Linked DNA regions of Danio rerio. The main gene of each other region encodes a partner of the protein of the gene in region 3 in a complex. Links are inferred from orthologs where the notes say so. Each region holds a gene or a part of one and is shown on either strand. Other genes may lie near its edges.

Region 1 (4,668 bases), on a different chromosome or scaffold from region 3:
ACTTTTAAAACGATACCGGTGCCAAAACGGTGCCGAAACCGATACTTTTGAGCCTCAAAATGATGGTGGATGAAAAATCTTTGATGAGAAAAATCTTTTATTTGACAATGTTTTAATCATTTTAATAAACAATATAATTAAAGTTTAAATTAAGCATCAATTCATATTTTATATATTTGATTTGAATAGCATTAATATATATTTTGATCATTTGTTTGTTAGCATGAATATAAGATTTGCATTACCATCACATTAACTTACTATTTACCTGTGATAAGGCTGTAATCAAAATCAGGGAACACCTTTTTTTTTTAGGGTTGAGGCTTGTGACTATGTTTACATGGACATCAGTAAACTAATTATTTGCCTTTATCTGAATAAGACGATAATAAGATTAAGATGTTTACATGAGTTGGTTTTTGAATGTTCCTTTCATGATCCCATTTTACATGTCATAGCACAAGGATTGATTAACGTCATTGCATCACCAGTTTTTCACCATAGTTTTTCAACTGTACCTGCAGTTTGTCAGTTTCACTTTTATTTAGCAACATATTGTTCATGCCCCATAAAAAACTGAGGTATCGGAGGCGAATATGAAGTAAGGACTGCTGGAAGAGTGTAGTTTTAATGGATTTTGATACCGCACACCGAATGGGAAAAAAATAAAATTAAATTGTGACGCGGGTGTCTGTGTTCCTTTAGGGTTATCAAAAGTTTCTGTTTACATGGTGAACTCTTAATCAGAGTATTGTCTGAATCATATTAAAATCGGAGTATTGGTGTCCTTGTAAATGTACTTAGTAAAAGTGCCAGAAGATGTTGCAAGCTGCATTCCTCTGCCTTTAATTTCATTCGCTGTGTCCTCAAATGTTTCACGTGTTTCCCCTTACACGCACATTTATATATTAAACTAATTTATTGCATTCTGAAAATGTCAGAAACAAACACAACAAACTTGCCTAAAACTCAAAATGGCATACAGCAACAAAAGGCAAACTGTTAGGAGGATCAGTTACTGAAATGCTTCATTGGTTGCTGAATGATGTTTTTAACTAGTCATGCAGTTTACACAACAATCCATATTCTAGTGCGCAAATTTAAAAGTGAACGTAAAATGCATGAGTCAACAGATTTGTCTGTATTTTCAATTTTGTCTCCTTTTTGTGGCGATCAAAATGTATCTATTAGGCAATCTAATAAGCAGCTAAACGCCACTTGCCTTTGACAGCAAAAGCCACTATATCCCGAGAACCAATCAGAAGGTGCGAATCCAATCCTGTTTTCAATGTAGCAGCGCACTGATACGCCGGCTTTATGAGGACTGTTTTTTTCCGCTTTCGATGTAGATTTTAAAGGGCACCTATGGTAAAAAAAAATCTACTTTTCAAGCTGTTTGGACAGATGTGTAAGTATAGTGTATAGACCGTCATATTGGGATGATATAAACACACACAGTCCTTTTTTTTTTTTCAATTTAACAACAAAAACGGTGGACCAATTGGAGCGGTTTCTTAGAGCGACCGCAACTTGCCGTAGGAGTGCGGTCCCCCCGCCCACCAATATTGATTGATTAATTCTGTGCATCTACTGTGTTGTCAGTTCTGGAGAGGCGTTATCCCAAGGAAGTGCAGGACCTTTATGATGTCATGAGACGCTTTGCGCGTGTGGTGGGACCAATAGAGCACGACAAGTTCATCGAGAGTCACACCTGTGAGTATTTAACCCTCTTTTCAACCACTCGATATAGAGAAATCCAGAACACTGCTGTTACCGGACTCGCTAGTTTACCAGACTTCAGCTGACCTGAGATCAATCTAGCCCTGTGTGTCTTTGTGGTTCAGTGAGTGTGTGCAGGACAGCTAGATTTAGACGAACAAGCCCTCATGTCATTCAGCAGCACTCAGTCTGAGTTCAGTCTGTCCGCCCCACTAGTCTGAATCAGCCAGGGTGAAAAGTTCAGCGCTCCATCTGCTCTGTTTCTCTCTGTCATCAACTGTTCACAGTGGAGTTTGAGCTGCGGAGGGAGATCCACAGACTGCAGGAGTACAGGAGCGAGGGAATACAGTCCTTCTGCGGTAAGATGCACCCTCAATCACAAGCATATCATAGGAGGTAACATAAATCAGAGTGCCACGGTGCTATTTTTAAGCTTTCAAAATTAGGTTTTTCATTCACTAAGGAGAAAAATCACTTTCGTTTTATCATTATATACACTCACCGGCCGCTTTATTGGGTACATATAAAATGTATTAGTATCGGGTTGGACCCCCTTTTGCCTACAGAACTGCCTTAATCCTTCATGGAATAGGTTCAACAAGGTACTTAAAATATCTCTTAGAGAATGTGGTCTTTATTGACATGATAGCATCGCGCAGGTGCTGAAGATTTGTCACTGATGCGAATTTCCCATTCCACCACATCCCAAAAGGCTCCATTAGATTGAGGTCTGGTGACTGTGGAGGACAATGTGAACTCATTGTCATGTTCAAGAAACCAGTCTGAGATGACTCACGCTTTATGACATGGTGCATTATCCTGCTGGAAGTAGCCATCAGAAGAGGGGTACACTGTGGTCATAAAGGGATGAACATGGCCTGCAACAATACTCGGGTTGGCTGTGGCGTTGACACAATGCTCAATTGGTACTGGTGTGCCCAAAGTGTGCCAAGAAAATATCCCCCACATCATTACACCACCACCAGCAGCCTGAACCATTGATACAAGGCAGAATGGATCTATGCTTTCATGTTGTTGACGCCAATTTCTGACCCTACCATTCAAATATCCTCCGATGGTTGTGCTTGAAAATCCCAGGAGATCAACAGTTTCTGAAATACTCAGACTAGCTCATCTGGCACCAACAACCATGCTACATTCACAGTCACTTAATTTTTTTTCCCCCATTCTGTTGCTTAGTTTGAACTGCAGCAGATCGTCTTGACCATGTCTACATGCCTAAATACGTTGAGTTGCTGCCATGTGATTGGCTAATTTAAAATTATGGGTTAACGTACAGTTGAACAGGTATACCTAATAAAGTGGTCGGTATGTTGTAGTCTCAGCTCATTTCACACAGTTAATAAAATAGATGGTTCATTAATGCAGTTTTTTTAAACCCCCTTTGTTATGTTCTGATTGGTCAGATGTCATGAAAAGTCATAAGTACGGGATACTACACACCATGCACTTACTCACTGTGTACTTATGTACTTACACACATAGTGTATGAATTTAGTGCCAGTATTTTACTAACCAGAAATTCAAACCGTTTCCCAAATGACATTTGACGGTTGCCAACTTAGTAATGACCAAATAGTACCTGTCATGAGTATAACCACATTCACCAATGGTGAACACATTGGAGCACTTTTTTGACAGTGGTTCCTTTCAATATAATCCAGAATTCAGAACAGTACAAGGTAAAAAAAAAGTTAATAAATGTGAAAATATACACAGCTATAAAGTATATAGAGTTATTAAATGATACGCAAAGTCTTATAATTAATTATAAACAATATGTGACTAGTATTGAGTTGAGAAAGTAACATTCAAGTTGTCAGAAAATTCTTAAATGTGCCATAGAATGACATTTTGGATATACCTAGGCATAGCTGAATAATAAGAGTTCATGGAAATTACATATCATGAGCCTCAAATATCAATGTGTTATTGTTCTCCAACAAATCCTGTGAGTGCAAAATCCCAGTGAAAATCCGGCCAATTGGAACAAAACACAAACTCTGACAATCCACACAGAATCAATTAAATGAACGCCCCAGGCAGTGTTTGATTGGCCACAACGTTTTCTAGTGAGATTACATCAATTATTATTTTCCCCTTATTTTTAACTTTATATAAGCTTGTATTAAACATACTATGCATGTGGGTCTCTTGTTTTGAAAATAGGAACAGGCAGGGAGATTAAAAAAGGAACAGTTTAGTGAAGTAGGCAGCTATGCATGACCACTAAGTGCTCACAACTTGTCAGAAAGCAAAATGCAGGATATACGGATTAAAAACGTATTCAGCACCACCTTGAAGAGGCATAAGGTCTGTTTAACTCCTCTCTTTTGTTAGTTTAAAGTATATAATTCGCTGTGTATATTTGTGATGAGGCAACAAACACACGTATACTGAGTAAAAGTGCTTAAAGATTGTTTCTGGAGATTTATTTTTTTGCTTACCTGAGCCACAAACCTGTTATTTAGATATCAGTGAACAATTTTCACTCCTTTACATTTTTACAAATGTTTAGAAAAGATCAACTTAAAATTTTTTGTGGATGGTAATTCCAAATCATGTAGAGGCAGTTTAAATTAGAACACAGTCAACAAGTGATGATTTAAGCAGAATCAAGCACTATCTCATCTGAATATGGTCCATACGCTCTGACCACAGCTTTTTGATAATGCTAGCCAGATCTCACATACAGAGATCTATGTTCATATCTGAAGTGACACCTGTCATCTGGTCTGCAGGTGCTAAAGTCTATGAGCGAGTGAAACGCACACGAGAGGATGAGCGCAGGAAGAGGAACATGCTTTGTGACGTCCTGCAGTACATTCATGACACCCGCGCCTGCCAGCAGTGGCTGCACAAACAAGCTGCCATGTAAGATCTCTTCCTCACTCACTCACAATACTGCTTCCTTTATGTTAAAATGTA
Region 2 (4,668 bases), on a different chromosome or scaffold from region 3:
TAGATATTGTATTTCTGTCTGCGAGGTGTCATCAAGCCTTTTTGATCCGTTATTCAGTAGTTCATAAATAAGACTGCAGAGCGCCGAGCACCAGGAAATTGTTTTTCCCGATCACAGTCCGATCTGTCAGCAAGCTCGTTAACTTTCAAATCGGGCTCAAATCAGGCTTAAAATCCTTTAGTGTGAACTAGGCTTAAGAGTCCATAAAAAATCTCCAGTAACACCAAAAAAAGTTGCTAGATTTTTTGTTAGTCGCTTTTTTTTTTTTTTGGAATATTTGCCGCTAAGGGGGTCTGAAAAGTCACTAAGTTGGCAACACTGGTGATTTAATGTAATTTGTGTACCTTTTTGCATTAAAAAAAAAAAAAAAAAAAAAACGAGAAGGCACCAACTGCTAAGCTAAGAGTGAAATCTTTAGAATTAACCATTCGGCATGCATTTTTACCTTAGCAAATAATTCCTGTTGTTGGCGGAGAAGTTCTTCCTCGGGAATGCCAAGGTTCTCTAGTCGAGAGCTGGCCTTTCTTCTTTTAAGTGCTACAGTTTTACACTCCTGCAGAACGTCTTTTACTTCTGCGATGTATGACCCAAATCCTAGACTTTCCAGTGCTTAAAAAAGAAGAACACATATAATGTTATTTAAGAAAAAAAGTATATTTAAGTGAAAAATTGTAACTACAGTGAAAATATTCACTGTAAATATTCACAAAAAATATTTTTCAGAACAGGAAAACAATTACATCCATCCATATGCTCCGTAGAAGCGAACTTCAAGGGATAGTTCACACAAAAATAAAAATAAAATTTGCTTAGTTAAAAGGCTGTTTCAATCCACCCTCTGTGATGTATATTATTTATTTTGGTAACAAGTAGCCACTGATATACATAGTAAGAAAATATAAATACTACGGAAACTAATGACTACCGGTTACCAACATTTTAAAAAATAGATTTTTGCATTCAGTTGACAAAACTAAAGGGTTTAGAATAAGTGAAAAATAACTTATTTTAGACTGAATATTGTAGACATTGATACAGTTGGTCAAAAATTTGAGATTCGAACTAAAGGCTTTGAGATTCAAACTAAAGGCTTTGATATACTTTAAGTGAAGTAAATTGAAAAACTGATGTGGCAAAAAATAAATCAGGTCAAAACAGAGTTTGTGTGGTATTTGCTTTATGAGGCCAAAGCAGCTTGTCATTGTAAACTTCCCAGAAGATTTGCTTCAGCTGGTAAACACCTTCCCAACAACATTTTCTCCGGCAGTTATGTAAATCTGCATGTAGTTTGACTAGGAAATTTGTTCTAGTTCATTTCCAAAAGTAGTAACAATCAATACAGAGATGCTTGTCAGTAGAATTTGATGTAAAATTATAATTAACAGCAAGACTGACAGTTTTCTCCATTCTATGCAGTTTTAATAGCAATCATCTGCATAACGTTCAATAAAAATAAGCATGACTTTACTGGCGTCCTCAAAATGAGTGCTAACAGCCACATTGTTTTGTTAAATGCTGATTTCTCACTTCATAATTTAAACAAACTGACCTAAATATTCTGTAATGTTCCGACAAAACACTGTTCAGGTGTTTATCAAATTTGTTTTACACAATTTTCTCACTTGTAGACCATGTGTATTGTTTGGGGGGAAAAGGGGTTACTGCTTTTACTATGTATCAATTTCTTCTAGGTTGAATTTGAAGATTAAGCTAATATCAGCTAGTCTAAATCAGTGTTTCTCAATGCCGTGCCCCACCAGTCCGAACATTTTGCATACTCTTATTTAACACACCTGATCTTGATAACCAGCTCGTTAAATAAGCTCCATGCATCAACCATGTTAGAATTAACAGGTCTCCACACAGTGTGCATTACTCCCTACTCGCTTTTTCTTCATTGAGCTCTACCTGAGCACAAAATACATTTATTTCACTTCGGAACACTCATTCACAGATTTGCACAATAGCATTGCCTAAATGCCTGCAGAGTCTTCTTACTTGAGATGTGACATGCCTACATAAATATATTGTACAATACATTTACATATCACACATTGAAACTTCCTTTGAATAAAATATATATGCTGTCTTCAAAAATAAAACATGGCATAATATCCTCTAAAGTCACTTTGCAGGGAACTTGTCAAATAAGAACAAGTGTCTGAAGTGAAAAGAAAACCATAAGAAACGTGCAGTTCAGTGGGCACAAGAAACAGGATTGTGAAATCAGTCCAGAGCTTCTTAATCTTGGCTCTGGAGGTGCAGTGTCCTGCAGATTTTAGCTCCAACCCAAATCTAATGGGGCTGGCTAATCAAGCTCTTAATAGGCTTTCTAGAAACATCCTTTTTTTGGAGCTAAAATCTGCAGGACACCGGATCTCCAAGATAGAGTATAAGAACCCCTGCGCTATTCTATATCAAAGTCCCTTTAAGTCAGGGGTGTCCAAACTCAATTCCTCGAGGGCCGCAGCTCTGCATCATTTAGCTCCAACCACTTCCAACTCACACCTGCTTAATAGTCTATAGTAGTCTTGAACACCTTGTTTATTTTAATCAGCTGTTTAATTAGGGTTGAAACAAAACTGTGCAAAGCTGTGGCCCTCCAGGAAACCAGTTTGAGACCTATTCTTCAAGGCAAGTCAGTTCACTCTGCAGCCATCTTTGAAACGCCTCTTGGGCACTATGCTCAGGCATTCTGTCTGAATATGGATACATCCAATTATAAAAAATTGCTTGCCAAGCTTAGGATTAAATTTCATATTAGGAATTACAATAAAATTAAACAATAACGGTGTCTTTAGTTTTAGTTCTAAAACGTTCTAATCACACAAAATCTTCAGAAACTCATGGCTGTTCCGAATCCCTCCCACAGAGGGAGTTAGTCTATAGTCTATAGCGATAGCTGATATAGAATAGCGATAGCTGATTGGCTCCTGTACTAGAAGGCAGGGCTTCATTCACCATGAAACTACACAAGTGACAGGTTGTGTAGTCTATAGTCTTTGTCTATATGCACATATCTTATCATACCCTTTAAGGCAGGGGTCTCAAACTCAATTTACCTGGGGGCCGCAGGAGGCAAAGTCTGGGTGAGGCTGGGCCGCATAAGGGATTTCACAAAAAAAGTCCTCAAATGTCATTATTAACAGTTTTAATTATTTCTTCTGAACATGAAGTGTCCTGGACATTAATAGAACATTGAGTGAAGATTATGAACAGTTCTTCTGAACATGGCATCTTTTGCCTACTTCTTGCGGCCAGAGACTTGACAGCGCTTATTCTCACAAATCTTATATATGTATATATGTGTATATATATATATGTATAAATAAAACACCCCCACCCCACTCCAGTCACATCAGTCTGTACCAGTCTGTATCTACCTATAATATATACAAGATGCAGGCTGTAGCTAGGTAGGTGGCAGGCTGCAGATAGGTAGCTAAGTGGCAGGCAGGGGCGGGAACAGCTTACCTTGGTTCTGGCCGGCACGAGTTCCCTCCCTGCCTGGTTTATACTTCTGCGTCAAGTGACCGGCGCAACTCACGGCGCAGGCAACGCGCGCAGCTGTGCATTTAAAGTATAAATGCGCAGAAGTATAAATGCACAGCTGCGCGCGTTGCCTGCGCCGTGAGTTGCGCCGGTCACTTGACGCAGAAGTATAAACCAGGCTTCTGCGCGCTGTCTCTGTTGGTCTGCATTAACACTTCCGAAACGCTAGTGGGCAGTGAGGTGTAAATGTTCCTCTGTGTCGAGTTTCTTCGCTTCTGTTTTGCTATTCTGAACACTTCCTGGATGTACAAGTGACTCAAACTCGCTCATTTTGAGGCAGGAACCGGCGGACGTGCAATAACTTTTACCATGAGGTAAACACAGAACAAAACTTTCCATCCGGAGCTCCTTCACAGGACTCCACACTTGTAAACAATCGCTCGCGCCATTCTCGCGGCTCTCGGTCCCGCCCAGACTCGTCGGCGCTAGCAAGCCGACCAATCACAGAGCTTGCGCTACGCGTCGTTACAACGTGTAGTTACAATTTTTGAGAGGTGCACGTCAGTGACGGCGACGGCCACGGCGAAGGGCTATGCGTCAGCGACGTAGCCTACGCCGGTGTTTGACTCAGAAGTAAAAATCAACACTTCCCGCCCGTCACAGCGTCTAACAAAGGGGCGGGGTGCGTGGTGACGTCACCAGCATCCCCGCCCCTTTGTTTACACGGCAGGCGGGGAATGCCAGTGACCGCTGTGTACGGATAGAATCAGCGGTCGGCGCGGGCCACAAAATATTGCACTGAGGGCCGCAAATGGCACGCGGGCCGCGAGTTTGAGACCCCTGTTTAAGGTGAATTGTTTTCTCACCACAAACCTAGGGCTTGGCGATAAAACCATATTTATTGTAATAATTTTTCCCTCTGTAAAACAACACGTTATAAATGTTTAACATAATAGTGGAATACATTAGCATATCATAACTGCATTGTTCCTTTGCACAACATAGATTGTTTATCCATTAGCACAAACAGCTGCTCGAGTTTGTTTGTATGTTCACATGCTAAAGGGTCTTGCTCATTAGGTTGGATGTTTGTCATCTTTGACAATAAAATTTAGTTTTACAATTTACTATTCTGGTTTTTGGAACTTTCTCCCAGAGGCTATAATCTGCACTTTA
Region 3 (4,419 bases):
GTACACAGCCTACAATAAATACCTAGAAGTTTCTGTAAATTAATAATGACATTTTCTAGCATATTTTATAAGATAAAGGTCAAACAAATATAAATTTACCTTAATTAGTACATCTGTGGTGACGCAGTGGCACAGTGGGTAGCCCTCTCACCTCACAGCAAGAAGGTCGCTGGTTCGAGCCTCGGCTGAATCAGTTGGCATTTCTCTGCGGTGTTTGCACATAGAACGTTCCATGTTTACGTGGGTAACCTCCGGGTGATCCGGTTTCCCCCACAAGACATGCGGTATAGGTGAATTCGTTAAGCTAAATTGTCCGAAGTGACAATTCAGTTTCCCAGTGATGGAGATTCAAAGGGCATCTGCTGCGTAAAACATATGCTGGATAAGTTGGCGGTTCATTCCGCTCTGGCGACCCCATATTAATAAAAGGACAAGTCAAAAAGAAAATATATGAATGAATGAATAGTACATCTGTGCAAATGTGTCCCCCTTACCCCTTATCTTCTAGATCAGTCCATCAATCAAATCAGATGAAAAGTTAGTGTTAAAAACAAATCGTTTATTCATTATTTCTAGTTGGGAATTCATTTTTAGTAAACAAATCTTTTAAAATGTAGAGATTGTGTTAAGATAAACATGTGAAAGCAAGTGATAAGACAACTAAGTAAATAAATAAATACAAAGTGTACATAACACTGTAGGACTTCCAGGTCTCGAGGCTTGAATTGTTTAGGGCCCCAAATGACTAAATCCAGTAATGGTCCTGGAGGGCCGGTGTCTTGGAGACTTTAGCTCCAACCCAAATCAAACACACCTGAACGGGGTCATCAAGTTTTTACTAAATATACTAGCATGTGCGTTGAAGCAAGTTGGAGCTAATTTCAGCAGGACACCAACCCTACAGGATCATGCTTGGACACCCCTGGACCAGATAATTTGAGGGATCCTGCGTTTCTTTATGGAAGAATGGCCTCTTTCCAAATTTTCCCAAACTCGTCAAGCATTAAAGAAAAGTCTGAGCTTTTATCTTGGAAAGTGACTACTGAATTAAGGGGTACCAATAATTGTCTCCAACATGTATCGAATGAAAACTATTTTTCTAAATGCACGGATGATGTTGCACTGACACAGGTAAAAAAATCTTTATTGAGTCACAGGTCATGTCCAAAGTGACTAAATGCAATACAGATACAATTCCTCATGCGGCCCTTGTCATCACTGCAGTGCACCGGAAATCCAACCAAAAACAAAAGACCAGAGTCCAAATGCAGAAGATGGGTTTATGCCAAACCATCATCCACATCAAGCAGGAAAAACAAAACACGCTCGAAGGACTATCAGCTACTTGAGACGGTTAATAAGACCACAGAACAGAGGTAAACGTACTGAACAGAGAAGCTGCAAGTATGTACAAAGTGTGTCAGGTACAGAAAACATCTCAAGGCTCTAAATACATCGAGACTGCTTTTGGTCACAAGATATAGGATTATGGCATATTCAGTTCCCAGCAACACTCCTCCTTGCATAAGTTAATTAAAACTGGATATTTCCTTTATCATATTGTTCAGTAATAATTTTTTTTCTTCCATTAAACCAATATTTTCACTGAACGCTCTGACCGAACTGCTACTCCATCCCGATGTATTGTACAGTTTTATTTTTCAAAAGCACCAAAACTTATATAAACAGGTGTTACAGGTAAATACAAGTGTAGCAATAAAGTGTACTTTTGGCATACATTATGTGTGTATCTGCGAAAAGCCTTTATAACGAAAGAGTAGTTTTATTGTTAGCACTGCCTAGACCACATTGAGCCACTGAAAGCCACTGAAAACCATAAACAACTAGCTTAGCAACTATTACACAAATGAATGGTTTTAATTGCTGCTTTGTCATCTGCAATTGTGCGCTGTACAGAAATGAACATGAAATAGTGAATGTTCAAAACATTTAGATAACATTTCATACATGGGAGGTTTGATTTGACATCAGTACACGTCAAGGTAAGTCTTTGAGGCGTTCACAGCAGTTTGAGAGACATGTTTTCAGCCAAATAATGGAGTGAAGCTGCAAATCGCTCCTAGAAATGCAGGCATTGAAATGTAATACTTCAAACATTTCTGTTAAAATGGCCACTTAAAATGTGCCCAAGGCGTTCTGCTGGCTTCAGAAAGTGTGCAAACAACTGATAGAGACACAAGTGTCTTTTCTACAAAACTTACAGAAATAAAAAGACACGAACACACTTTTTGTCCTAATAGGTTTGTGGAGTTTAAAACAAAGCTGCCTAAATTTACAGACTGGTTTAATGTTTTGCTGGACGCTTAAACTGGTGAAAAAGCTGTCGGCAAGGCAGAGGGAAAGTGATAGTTTTAGTGCACAGAGAGGGCACCGTGTTAGGACAGGGTGTGTTGGGGAAGGGCGCTTTCATCAGTCTTCTTGCCTAGCATGACTTCTCAAATGAAAAACGAGTCTCTCCCCCCCACCAAATGAATAGTACAAAATTAAAAAAAGAACAAAATATTAAAGTAAATTACGCTTCAGGCTTAGCAGTCGCTTTTCCAAAGTTTGATGGTTTTGTCGTTTTCTAGTGCTGCTGATGCAATGATGTTTTCTGTGGGGTGACAAGCGGTTGAGATCACCACATCTGCAAACAACAAAACATACCCATTAATATATATACAGCTGTGAAAAAACATCACTCGAAAATTTCTCGATTTATTGGATTTTTATTAGATATATAATTGAAATCCAATAAATCTACATAAGCAAAATAAGTACTTAGACCCAATCCTATTTTTGTACCCCTTCCCCTTGGCCCCCTGAAATAAAGTGTGAAGAGAAAGGGCTTCAAAATTTACCCCTAAGAAATGGGACGGCACTACAGCACCTGTACACATCATCATATGTCGTCGCGATCTCATGCTTCAATCGTGACTGCTGTAATGATTCTAGTTGCTTTATTTTTTTGGTATTTATCTTCAGGAAATCACTGAAGGTATATATTATGTTATCATAACGATCTAATGTGGCAATAAAATCGTAACAGTACTGTGCATTTACACCCTGGCCATGTTCATCAATGTAAACACACCAAAAACAACATTAACATTATAGCAGACACTGTAAAACGGTCATTCCTAGCCACTAGACTCTTCTGACAGGGTATTCGAGTGTCAGAATGTTGTGGGACTGCTATACAGGAGTTATTATAGATAGCGAAATTTAGCGTTTTTTATTTTAGCTTTTAAAAAAAAGAGAGAGAAAAAAAACACAGTTATGAATATATTAAAACCTGTGCTTGTTTGTTGTAAAAGTTAAAAATAACGACAATAAATTACTAATACTAATTTGTGGATCTCTTTACTTCCGGGTGCAGCTATACTGCCGTTGTGGCTGGTGTATTCTGGGAAATTTTCTTCCCCTTAGTTTCGAGTTTGGTCCTAAAAAAAATTTCCATTCGAAGGGGCATCTACCCCTTGCCCTTATCCCTATGCCTTCAAGCTAAAGAGACTTGAGTAATAGAAAGGGCTAAAGGGTAGAATTGGACCTTAAAGTTAAAGGTTCATGAAACACCAAAACACATTTTTTGTTATGTTGACAGTCATATATGTGTTCTAATAAACACTATAGACACATATTTCACAAAAAAAAAGTGATGGTTGTTTTTGCTTTATTTTAAGCAAATTTGTTTTCTCAGATTTGAAACTAATTTTTGAAGCTACGTCATGGCAATTAGATCCTTATGTGTAATCCAGCATGGAGAGTGGATGTCTGTACTGGCAAATACATCCGAGTCCGAATGTGCAGCATTAATTCATGAGAAAGACTTGGTTCAAACCAATTAGCGCGCTCTATTGTGAATGAGGTGCAACTTAATTAATATGCACGATAGCTTCGAAGACTGTTTTTACCTAATAGAATGTTCAGACTGCAGAGAGACACCACGTTGTGTTGCCAAAAAAATGGAAAAACAAGAATTGTTTGGAGACATGGGTTGTCAGTGCTTTTTTTTAGAAATGTGCTGCAACAAAGGTTTTGTTTCAATTTCGTGCTATGAGAGTGCAGCTGGACTCACTTGTGGTTTACAATTCATGCGACAGAAATATATTTGTAAGGAACATTTTTTACCTGAAAGCTTTTCGCATAAGGAAATGGGGAAATCTGGATTTGCCACTTGTATCCTTTTAAAAAAGATGCGGCTCCAGTTGGTGTTGATTGTCTTGTCTCTACAGATTTGTACTCTTTCAGTTTTTAGAGACATACCTTAGTCAAAATGATTTAGTTACTAAGTTTACAGTTAGTTAATATCAATAGAATATTACAGACTGAAAGATCCGATGTAAATGCTGCTCTCCGAATGTAAACACCACAATCAAACTATTACCGTCATATAGAATTTTTGCCGCATTTTGCGAC
Region 4 (3,851 bases), on a different chromosome or scaffold from region 3:
CAGCTTATATTTTCAAAAAGGCTACTAAATTGTATTCTAACAGTGCCCTAATCTGAATAAGACAATAATATGATTAAGGCGTTTACACATGTTGCTTTTTGCATGTTCCTTTCATGATCTGGTTTTACATGTTATAGCACATAATTTGATTAACGAAAAGTCCTACATGATAAGTTTAAGGTCTTTACATGTCTGTACTGTACTTCAATAATGCGACTAAAATTGGCATACTTAACATGTCTTAATCTGATTTTTCTTTAGCTCAATTATGACCTTAATCAGGTTGATCAAAAATTGCTTTTTTCCATGTTAGACTTTTAATCAGAGTATTGTCTTAATCATATTAAAATCTGATTATTAGCGTCCATGTATACGTACTCACTGACTGAGTACACTGGTCTAACAACCAGCCCAATTAATCAGTAAAACATCAAAATTGGTTTTGCAAACAGGCATCGGGGAAAATACATAAATAAATTATGCAATGCAGCATAACAGGCAAATTAAACGTTTCCAAAAATGAGATTAAATGAGGTTTTTACTGTGGGCACACACAAAATGTCAGACACAAAATTAGAGGAAGATGACAGTTGAACATTCAGATTAATTTGTTGTTCATTCATGTAAGAGTATGGGATATGATTTACACAGCGGGGGACGTGTTTGAGCAGCACTGTTTGCAGGCATGTAGATACATGATGGATACCTCAGCGAAGCAAGGTGTTCTGGAGAACAAATTTAGTGCAGATGCCGATTTAATTATTCTGATGATACCCAACTTATGAAGGGATGTGCCAAAAACACATGAGGAGAGTGACTGCACACATTGACTTGTTTTAATGAGAAAAAGCAACACAAATCATACATCACTGAATTCCAGAGGTAGATTTTCTGTTGGCTGGAGCTCGGCGGCACTGAGGTACATGTCTGTGGGCGCAGACGCCAGCTGCTCCGGGGCGAGAGACTCCTGCTCGGGCTGGTACATGGGTGGAGGCAGGGACAGGTGTAGAGGACAGCGGGGCTCCTCCGACTGTCCCATGTGGACAGGACGATCGCATGGGACGTCCTTAAGACCAGGGCACAGCTTGAATAAAACTTGGCTGCTGTCTTGGTAAATGTCTGTGGTGGGGTGTTAAGGAGATTTGGAGAACTAGCACTGGGGAAAAAAAGTGTCTTAATGTCAAAGATATGGAAGGTGGGAAGAGGTGGAGAACTTAAAATGTTCCTTCAAAATGAAATCGACTTAACCCATCAGATCATTTTGGGAAAGTCAACAGACCTTAAGAAGTGTTTTGTGTCAGCCGCTGTTTGAAACCAACAGCTACAGCAAGCTGCGGGCCTTGATTCAGGGCTACAAAATACTACCTAACTGGTGCACAGGTGCACATTGGCGATAAAAATAAAAAATGCAGATCTGATATGGTACTAGAAAAGCACTTTTGCATGCAAGATTTAATTCACTTGGATGCAATTCAAATAGTGTAGAACACAGGATCGTGCAAATTTGCAATGCTTGTGGTTTGGTGAAAATGTAAAATAAGCTGGTCTTGGTGTGCGCAGGACCACCTGAAAAGGGTGGTCTGGTGAAAAGTTCACAGATCTCTGGGACAGTTAATATAGCACCAAACCATGGAAGTGAGAAGCTATTAATTACGTACAAAATGGTCAAATTGGTTAGTATTTGTGAGTTTAATTGCTTACTGACACAAATAACTGATGTGCTGTTTATCTAATTACTGCACAACTAAAAAAGTGGAAAAAATTACAGTTCATTTGAACTCGTTATGAACAGACACGTGTGCTGCTCAGTCTTAGCATGCTGATAAACTACTTTTCTGAGTACAAATTTGAGAGGCAGGTAGGGAGGGAATCAAATGAACTTTGCTGTAATTAGGTAATTGAGCCTAATGTAAAAGCATCAGCTGATCACACGGCCCTATATATATATATATACTTATATATATAATATATATATACTTATATATATATATAATGCAGTCTATGAAATAAATTATATTTTAAAGTGTATTATATTAGAAAAAAATATTATGTAAACTTGCATGCATCATTTCATAATATATTATAAAATGATGCATACATATTTACATGATAAATATATTGCTGTTATTCTCAAGCAAATAAATACAGCCTTGCTATCATTTGATTTTTCTTAAACATCAAAGAAATGTTACCAACCCCAAAAATTAAACAGAAAAGACTTTACTACTTAACAGAAAAAAAAACTGAACATAAGAGTCAGAGAAACACAAGACATAAAGGATACGAGAGACACAATGTCTTGTCATTGGCAGACACTGATTTGAACAGCGTGTCCCTTCCACAAAGGAAATGCACCTCTGGCCTAAACGCATTGCCTGTGAAGAAAAAAAAATGACGACATTAAAGACATTAAAAATAACAATAAAAAGTGAGGACGATTCAATTGAATTCAGTTGTCTTTCAAATGAGATTGCGGAGCTTTAAATTGGTTATTTTAAACATTCAAATTCACAATGGCCATGACACATTAAGCTGTCAGTGACCATCTGTTGAGTTAGTTTTTGCACTGTGGTCTACAAATCTGCTTTAGTTAGGCTCAGGTTGCTGAACATTGGGCGTGTTGAATAAGCCTCAAGGCCATTGGTGACACAGATCGCTCTGAATGGCTTTTTAGAACAAAACAATAAAACGTAATGCAAGCAAAACATAAGATGCCAATGATAAAAGGCCCTTTTAATGTTACATTATCCCCCCATGCATTCCAATATATCAGTATCATAGCATGAGCACATGAAATGAAAAAAACTGATGACTATGTTCAAAATGGTAAACGAACACTGCTTTGTTTACTTTTTTATATATGCAGTCATTGTTTTGCTTTCACTTTTTTTTTTATTCATTGATATCCGTTGATACAGACAAAGAAAGTTTTTTTTTTTTCCTTTCACACAGGATGCACCTGTGATCATCACCTGCAGTGCTACTGTTGTGTTCAAGAAAAGCTTTTTGGCCCAAATAGAGGCAAAACAAAGACACAACATTTGCTTTAGTCCCTTCTAATTTTTGACATCAGATTGATGCATTATGGTTTAAAGTCCATCCATACCTGTGTCGGTCCTCCTTCAGTGATTGCTTGTCTTCGTTCTCTGAGCTGACGGTGCAGCAAAGCCTCCACACCATAACGACGCCGATAACGCCGCAAAGCCTTTAACTTCTTTAAGTTCTCCCTTTCCTTCATAGATAGCCCTTCTGGACCAGTTAACAGGCTGCTCCCTGAATCACAAAAACAGACCTGAGTGTGTTTGTGTGTTTATACATGCATGTATATGTAGTAGGCTAAAAACATAAATAAATAAATATAAACACACACACATATATATATATATATATATATATATATATATATATATATATATATATATATATATATATATATATATATATATAAATATATATTTATGTATATATGTATATATGTATATGTTTATATATATGTATATGTTTATATATATATATATATATATATATATATATATATATATATATATAAACACACACACACACACACATATATATATATACACACAAACAACAGCAGTCTCACCGATAGTCTCATGTTCAATCTTGCGGCTGTGCAGGTAACGGCGTTTCTTTTCTTTTAGTAAGTGTTGCAGACGTTTAAATTGGTCTATGTAGAGGGACTGAAGTCTGATAAGCTTTTCACGTGTGATGAGTGCCACTTCCTCTGCTGTGTAAACCCCTGCATGCCTATAGAATCAAACCACACTAAATAAATTGATGATTCAGTTGACATTTATCGAAACTGAAAAACTGTAAAGTTCCTCACTTCA

Evidence for each region. The genes of interacting proteins can lie anywhere in the genome.
Region 1: wdr5 (region 3) and tada2a share a complex: the UniProt entries of both Homo sapiens proteins name them as parts of the ADA2A-containing complex. The link is inferred for Danio rerio from reciprocal best matches to the Homo sapiens genes WDR5 and TADA2A.
Region 2: wdr5 (region 3) and dr1 share a complex: the UniProt entries of both Homo sapiens proteins name them as parts of the ADA2A-containing complex. The link is inferred for Danio rerio from reciprocal best matches to the Homo sapiens genes WDR5 and DR1.
Region 4: wdr5 (region 3) and kansl2 share a complex: the UniProt entries of both Homo sapiens proteins name them as parts of the NSL complex. The link is inferred for Danio rerio from reciprocal best matches to the Homo sapiens genes WDR5 and KANSL2.

What each region holds. Positions count from the first base shown.
Region 1 is NC_133190.1:18,239,851-18,244,518, forward strand, and holds part of tada2a (transcriptional adapter 2-alpha), read left to right. Parts: intron 1-1,602; coding exon 1,603-1,713; intron 1,714-2,006; coding exon 2,007-2,078; intron 2,079-4,481; coding exon 4,482-4,614; intron 4,615-4,668. UniProt on the Homo sapiens protein: Component of the ATAC complex, a complex with histone acetyltransferase activity on histones H3 and H4. Required for the function of some acidic activation domains, which activate transcription from a distant site. Binds double-stranded DNA.
Region 2 is NC_133181.1:26,450,398-26,455,065, forward strand, and holds part of dr1 (protein Dr1), read right to left. Parts: intron 610-4,668; coding exon 446-609; intron 1-445. UniProt on the Homo sapiens protein: The association of the DR1/DRAP1 heterodimer with TBP results in a functional repression of both activated and basal transcription of class II genes.
Region 3 is NC_133196.1:19,694,352-19,698,770, reverse strand, and holds the end of wdr5 (WD repeat-containing protein 5), read right to left. Parts: intron 2,648-4,419; coding exon 2,547-2,647; 3' UTR 1,128-2,546; downstream 1-1,127.
Region 4 is NC_133198.1:27,545,664-27,549,514, reverse strand, and holds the end of kansl2 (KAT8 regulatory NSL complex subunit 2), read right to left. Parts: coding exon 3,848-3,851; intron 3,769-3,847; coding exon 3,605-3,768; intron 3,274-3,604; coding exon 3,107-3,273; intron 2,376-3,106; coding exon 2,285-2,375; intron 1,356-2,284; exon of another isoform or gene 1,218-1,355; intron 1,120-1,217; coding exon 860-1,119; 3' UTR 819-859; downstream 1-818. UniProt on the Homo sapiens protein: Non-catalytic component of the NSL histone acetyltransferase complex, a multiprotein complex that mediates histone H4 acetylation at 'Lys-5'- and 'Lys-8' (H4K5ac and H4K8ac) at transcription start sites and promotes transcription initiation.